2 linked regions of the Oryctolagus cuniculus genome follow. The protein of the gene in region 1 purifies or fractionates together with the protein of each later gene. This does not show direct contact. Links are inferred from orthologs where the notes say so. Each region holds a gene or a part of one and is shown on either strand. Other genes may lie near its edges. The genes, in order: WRAP73 and OBI1.

Region 1 (4,373 bases):
CTCCACGTCTCCCCGGCACCAGGCCCGGCCCACTGACCCCTGGCATCTTCCTCTGCTCTACCCGGCGCGGGGCCTGGCCCACTGACCGCCAGCAGCCCCCTCCACGTCTCCCCAGCAGCCCCCTCTGCATCTCCTGGCGCAGGGCCCGGCTCGCCGACCCCCGGCAGCCCCCTCGCATCTCCGGGCCCAGGCTCGCACTCACGTGGAACTCGGTAGTGTTGAGGATGTGCCGGCCGTCCGGGCTCCAGCACGAAGCCACCAGCCCCGCTGAGCCCTCGTCAATCTTGCAGTGCCACTCCGGCTGCTCCAGGGACCAGACCTGCGGCCGGAGAGACAGGAGGGCAGCCCTGCACCCTGCGGGCTCGGAGCAGCACCGGGGGGCCGGGGCCTCCTGTGGAGGACGGTGGGGGGGCCCCGCAGGCCCCGAGCCCCCGGGTGCTTCCGCGGTGTTCTGTGTGCAGCGCTCGCTGCCTTCCCAGGGCGGCGCCGTTAGCTCCGGGAGGCAGAGGAAACACCGCCTCCCAGGGGCCCGCGCAGACCGCGGCTCGCGCCGCCGCCCGTGTCTGACCGCGTTCGCTAGGAAACTCAGATCGCACGGTGTGTCCTCAGTTAAAGTGAGCACAGAGGGAGAACAACTGATTGGGAGGAAAGAGGCTTCCAGAGACTCGGGCTTCCTCCGGCGGGAAGGGCGGACACGGCTTCCCCCAGGGATTCCTGGAGACACTTCTGAGCGCGAGGAGCACACACACCCCTGCGCAACCCGTACACACACACCCCTGCGCAACTCCCCAGTCACACACTCAGCACACACCTGCACGCCCCCCCCACCTGCATGAGCCCCCCCACACCTGCACAAGCCCCTCACACACCCCTGCGCAACCTGTACACACACACCCCTGCGCAACTCCCCAGTCACACACATGGCACACACCTGCACGCGCCCCTCACACACACCTGCACGCCCCCCCACCTGCACGAGCCCCTCACACACACAGCTGCACGCCCCCCCACCTGCACGAGCCCCTCACATACACAGCTGCACAACCCCCACACCTGCACAAGCCCCTCACATACACAGCTTCACGCCCCCCACACACACCTGCACACCCCCCCCACCTGCACAAGCCCTCTCTCACACACACAGCTGCACGCCCCCCAACCTGCACCAGCCCCCCCACACACCTGCACGAGCCCCCCCCACCTGCACGAGCCCCCCCCCACACACCTGCACGATCCCCCGCTTGTACATGGCGCACAGGATGAAGAGGGAGTCCGCCGACCACTCCACGTGCTGGACCTGGTCCAGGCACGTGTACAGCTGCAGGATCTGCAGGGAGCTCACATCCCGGACGACTAACCGGTACTGCACACAGGAAGCCTAGAAACAGGGCGCAGGTGACGTCCGTGGCTACGTGCTGCTCCCACCCCAAAGGCAAGAGGAGTCAATAAACGATAAAGTTGAATAATTAAAATCATTACATTTTAGTATAAAGTGTGACTATTTTAATAATACTTAGGAAACATTTCCTACTCCTCCCGGAGCTATTCCTTAAGAACCTGAAGCAGGAGGCAGCAGGGACTCCTCCACCCCGACCACCTGTAGGGAGCTTTCTCCAGCTCATGGTGGGGGGGTCGGAGCCTCTCCATTGCCTGGGGTTCACAGTCGGCAGAGGAAAAGCTGTTCCCCGGAGCTGGCTTCGCTACATTGACTTCCTCCCCACCCGAGGTGACAATGTATCAGTCTTTCTTCCCCCATCTCAGCACAGAATCCCCAGGCCTGAGTCCTCCCTGGCCCCGGAGCTCCGGCTGACTTTAAAGATTCACTTTAGTACTGGCAGGTGTTAGAACTCAGCAACCGAGGCGCCACCCTGCCGGCTCGGAGCTCAGCCCGGCAGGCAGCCCCTTCGGCCTGGGGAGCGGCTGCGGGAGAGAAGCCCAGGCGAGGAGAGAAGGAGTCCTCCCCCGCCCAACTGTTCACTCCCGCCAGCAAAATTAACAACCAGCTGACATCTACACCGGCTCTGGACAGATGGAGACCAGGGCGCAGGGAGTCGCATCCGCCCAGGTCCCGCCCCTGCCCAGAGCGCCAGCCCGGGTCCCCCCCCCGCCCGGGGCCTGCACCTGCCCAGAGCCCCTGCCCAAGCCCACAACACCTCCCAGGGTCCTGCACCTGCCCGGGTCGCCCCCACCATCCCCACCCAGAGCCCCAGCCCAGGTCCCGCCCTGCCCAGAGCCCCTGCCCGGGTCCCGCTCCTGCTTGGATCCCGCCCCGTCCAGAGCCCCAGCCCGGGTCACCCACCTGCCTGGATCCCACACCTGCTCAGAGCCCCTGCCCAGGTCCCGCCCTCCCCAGAGCCCCAGCCAGGGTCCTGCACCTGCCTGGATCCCACCCATGCCCACAACACCCCCCAGGGTCCTGCACCTGCCCGGGTCCCGCCCTGCCCAGAGCCCCAGCCGGGGTCCCGCACCTGCCCGGGTCCCGCCCCTGCCCAGGTCCCGCCCTGCCCACAACACCCCCCAGGGTCTGCACTGCCCGGAACACCTCCAGGGTCTGCACCTGCCCCGCCCCTGCACGGAGCGCCTGCCGGGGTCCCGCACCCGCCCCGGCCCTGGCGGACCCGAGCCCTGGCCCCCGGGGTCCCGGGTCCGCCGCCCCGCGCCGCTCACCAGGTACTTGCCGTCCGGGGAGAACTTGCAGAGCAGGTTGGAGAGTTTGAACGTCTCGGAGAAGTTCATGGCCACCGCCCGCGCGGGCCGACCCGCGCCCGAAAGCCCGCGGGGACTCGGGCGGCCGCCGCAGCCCCAACCGCTGCGGGCCGCGGCCGGAAGTGGGGAGGCGGAAGCGAGCCTCCGCCAATCAGGGCCGCGCCGGCCGCGCGCGGCATTGTGGGGCTGGAAGTCCTCGCGCCCCGCGCCGCCGAGCCTTAAAGGGGCAGCGCGCGACGGGGCCGAACTCGAGGGCTGCGGGGCTTCGGCCCCGGATGCAGAGCAAACGCGGGGTTCGCGGCTCGACAGGAGTTTCCGATAAGCCAGGAATCATGGGCGGTGCGAGCACGCGCGCAGAAGCTGCACGGGGCCCCCGGGTGCTCGCGGAACCCGAGGGTCGCCGCGGACACTGGCCGAGGCGGAAGCGTGCCGCTCGTGCCCGGCCGCAGGCGTGTGAACGGGCATCGTGCGCGCGCTCCCGTGTAACGCACGAACCACCGACGGCGGCCGAGCGAAAGGCCCCGAGGGAGCGAGCCCCGCGCGGACGCCACCGGTCGCGCCGCGCCCTGTCCCCACCCCTCCGCCCCCACGCCCACTCGGGACCCGGTCCCCCTACCCGGCGGAGGCCGCCGCACTCCTGGCCCTCGTAGGGCCTGCGGGTCGTGCCGACCCCGCCACGCTCAGGCCCCGCAGGCTGGGCCCCGCGGGATCCTCCCGCGCACGTCCCCAGCTCCCCGGAACGAACACAGCCGGTGCGAGCGTGCGCCCGATCGCTGGCTTCTCCGTCCCCAACCCGCGCCCCGCAAACTCTAGGGGAGCGGTACCGGTGTGCGGAGGCCACGGGAGACGCCGCACCCGCGGGAACTCCAAGGCGTCGGGTTCCCGCGGGCGGGGGACATCGCGGTGGAGCCAGATAACGCGGCCCCCCCGCCCCACTCCAGACGACAGCGCACGGCGGGGGCCCGCCGCCAAGACCCCCTCAGCACTGGCCCGCGCGTGGGTGCTGCAGCCCGGACCCTGCGAACGGGGGCCAGGACCCCGACGCTCCCGCTTTACCGGCGGGGCGCGGGCCGCAGGGGAGGTCCGCCTCATCCCGAGCGGGCCTCGGGGCGTTGGGTCCCACGTTTGGCCAAGGACACCTGTGCGCACCTTCGCCCGCGCCGAGCAGCCTGCAGCGCCAGGGGCCCGAGCAAGGTGCCGGCTACAGCCGCGAAGTTCGCATCCCAGGGGCGTCCTGGACCAACCTAGCAGAGCGCGTGGCCGGCGCTCCCGGGCGGAGCGGACCCGTCAGTGCCGCCCCGACGCCAGGTTCCCTCCTGCGCACGGAGGCCGCGGACCCTTCCCCTGGGTCCCCAGTTCCCGGCGCGCCGAGGGGCCCAGCGCCGGTGGGGACGCCGCTGGGAGAGGAGAAGGCTGGGGTGGGGAATCCGAAGCGTCGGGGCGCGGAGCCCACACCTGCTCCCGCCCCGCCCCCGGCTCCCGCGCGCCTTCCCCGCGCCCCCGGGCTTGCCCAAGGTCGCGGCCCGCCCTCGCCCGCGGGACGGCCCCGGCGCCCGACCCGCGTCCGGCCCTGCGCGGGCGGCCCCTCCCGGGCTCGCCTGGGGCGACTCGCGCCAAGCGGCGGCGGGAAGGAGCCGGGCGGAACGCGCGCGGGACCCCGACCCAGA
Region 2 (2,872 bases), on another chromosome or scaffold:
AGCGAATAGAATTTAACTTCTTGGATAAACATGAGCCCGATTTCTCACTCAGTTTTGAAGATATTTCTCCAACAGAATTTGCCATGTTATTCCCTTCTGAACTCTCAAAATCCAAGCTTTGGGCATAGCTTGTAGAACAGCAATCCCAAAATCCTGTCTTTGGGGAAGTAAAACATTCTGATTTCTTTTCATTTTCACTTCTACTTATATCATCTTCTGAAGAATCTTTATTACAAACATTTGTAGAATCACAAAAATCATCAAATACCAATTTTCTTAGATGGTTTGAGTGCTTTCTGGAACTTCCTGCTTTGACTACAGAGCTCTCTCTATTTTCTGGAGTATTAAGCTGAAGGCAACTAAGAGACAAAGGAGTACAAGGAGCTGGAAGATCATAAAGTTCTTCATCTTTGTAGGGTACACAATCACTTGGTTTATTACCCCATTCTCTTTCCAAATAAGCATCCATGTTTGCATCTGTCACATCTAACATTATTTCTACCCGTTTTTGATATAGGTCTTTGTTCTTAGAAGAATTAGGCTCTGTTTTGCTGGTACTTTCTTGTCTGGCAGAACTGGTGTCAGACAGTCTGCTGCTGGAAGGCTTTGTCAGGTGAGAACTTGAGGTGGATGAGCCAGACTGCGTTCTGGCATTGTCACATTGATTCTTTGACACCATATCCTCTTCACTATCCTTGATCCTCTTGCCATCTGCAGAAAGTACTCTCTGGCAAATGGAATCCATAGCTTCCTTCTCTTCACTTGAATGTTTTAGTTGTGTGACTTGAGATTCTAGTTCCTCTATATACTTATCACTTCGCTCCAGGGCTTTCTTGAGCCGATTAGTTTCACGTTCATACTGTTCAACTTTGGACTGAAGAGCAGCAACTGTAAACCTTCCAAACCTATAAAGAATGGAAGCAGAGTTAATCTTACAGATCAATTGTTTTTCTTTTTTTTTAAAAGTTTAAGAATGCAAACTTCCCAGGAACTTTTTAACTACACATGGCAGTGAGAAGTCAGAACACTTAATGAGTAGAACAAAAGCTATGGCAGATGTAGTATCTTCATAAAATGGTCTCCCTCCTGATGTAATATAGTAAGTACATGATAATAACTGCAAAGATCTTAAATAATATTTCTGTGGCTCAATCAGTGCAGTTTTAGCAAAGAGGAACAAATTTACTGATGATTTCCCTTCCAAGAGCTAGCTCTGTCATGTTAGCTCAAATATGCATGAAGAGTTATCCCCTAAAACAATGGCAAAGATTTATGATAACATTTGAACAGTGGTCCACATCTTGAAATATTTACATTCAATCATTTTCCTATCATACAGCAGCGCTTTACAACACATTTCTTACACAATGTCACCTTGTCAAACATAAAATGCCAATTTGAAATTCAGAAATCTTAGTAGTCCCAGGAAGAGTGGTTTTAAATACTTATTTGGACCCTTTCAATTATAGTCTCCCTTGATCTGAAGGTTTTCCTTGGCCTTTCTAAGCACTGGGCTTTAATTTATTTCAGCTCTACTTATTTTTAGCATTTTATAACTGTATGGGACATCAATCTCATTTCTTTCAACTTTGAAAAATAAAGTCAGTGCCTGTGCTTCCAATATACTATGAATAAAAACATTTTTACATTTTCTTAAAGGGAATATTTTGGAGAGTGACAAAAAAGAATGTATCAAAAATTCAGTCTTTTAACCTAGCATTATCTTTTTTCTATTATTATGTCAATAATAGGTACCAGGTTTAATTCAGAAAGTAATTTTTGAGGACCTAGTATAGGTTTGATGGTATATCTGGTTGGAGCTGAGGAGTAAGACAGTTTCAGCTCCAAAGGACATAAAATATCTAGGTTAAATTCTATCTTATCACAAATGAAAATTCTAACTTTCAGGAAACTGCTTCTTATAACCCAATAAACATAAACCTTACATTCTAACTCCATGAAAAATATCATCTCTCTCCTAAAGTTCTTTCCGAAAGTGCTAATCATCTTTTTGATAATTAGTTTTTTTTTTAATTTTTTTTTTTTTGAGAGGCAGAGTGGACAGTGAGAGAGAGAGAGAGACAGAGAGAAAGGTCTTCCTTTACCGTTGGTTGACCCCCAATGGCCGCTGTGATAGGCGTGCTGCGGCCAGTGCACTGCACTGATCCGAACCCAGGAGCCAGGTGATTCTCCTGGTCTCCCATGCGGGTGCAGGGCCCAAGCACTTGGGCCATCCTCCACTGCACTCCTGGGCCACAGCAGAGAGCTGGATTGGAAGAGGGGCAACCGAGACAGAATCCAGCGCCTTGACCGGGACTAGAACCCGGTGTGCTGGCCCCGCAGGCGGAAGATTAGCCTATTGAGCCATGGCGCCGGCCTGATAATTAGTTTTTTTTTTTTTTAAAGAATTCAAGAATTATTTGCAGGAAGGTGCTTGAGAACTACTATTAAAAAGTATCTATATCTGGATTTACCTTCTTTTTTTCCTTAATTATAAAAATAATCATGGGGCCAGCACCGTGGTGTAGTGGGTAAAGCTATTGCCTGCAGTGCCAGCATCCCACATGGGCGTCAGTTCGAGTGCTCTCTGCTATGGCCTGGGAAGGCAGTACAAGATGGCTCAAGTCCTTGGGCTCCTGCACCTGCATGGGAGACCTACAAGAAGCTCCTGGCTCCTGGCTTCAGATCAGTGCAGCTCCAGCTGTTGCGGCCATCTGGTGAGTGAACCATTGGCTGGAAGACCTCTCCCCCCCCCCCCCACTGCCTCTCTGTAACTCTACCTTTCAAATAAATAAATAAATCTTGTAAAATAATCTAAGAAAAAAATAATCACAATTGAGTAAATATATTAAGCATAAAAACATTACAAAGG

What was found.
Region 2: the proteins of WRAP73 (region 1) and OBI1 purify together in Homo sapiens (affinity purification with mass spectrometry; 3 studies listed by BioGRID and IntAct, counting the BioPlex papers as one, with this or other methods). This does not show direct contact. The link is inferred for Oryctolagus cuniculus from reciprocal best matches to the Homo sapiens genes WRAP73 and OBI1.

What each region holds. Positions count from the first base shown.
Region 1 is NC_091438.1:162,833,813-162,838,185, reverse strand, and holds the start of WRAP73 (WD repeat-containing protein WRAP73), read right to left. Parts: upstream 2,836-4,373; 5' UTR 2,737-2,835; coding exon 2,668-2,736; intron 1,379-2,667; coding exon 1,226-1,378; intron 320-1,225; coding exon 203-319; intron 1-202.
Region 2 is NC_091440.1:33,625,395-33,628,266, reverse strand, and holds part of OBI1 (ORC ubiquitin ligase 1), read right to left. Parts: intron 906-2,872; coding exon 1-905. UniProt on the Homo sapiens protein: E3 ubiquitin ligase essential for DNA replication origin activation during S phase.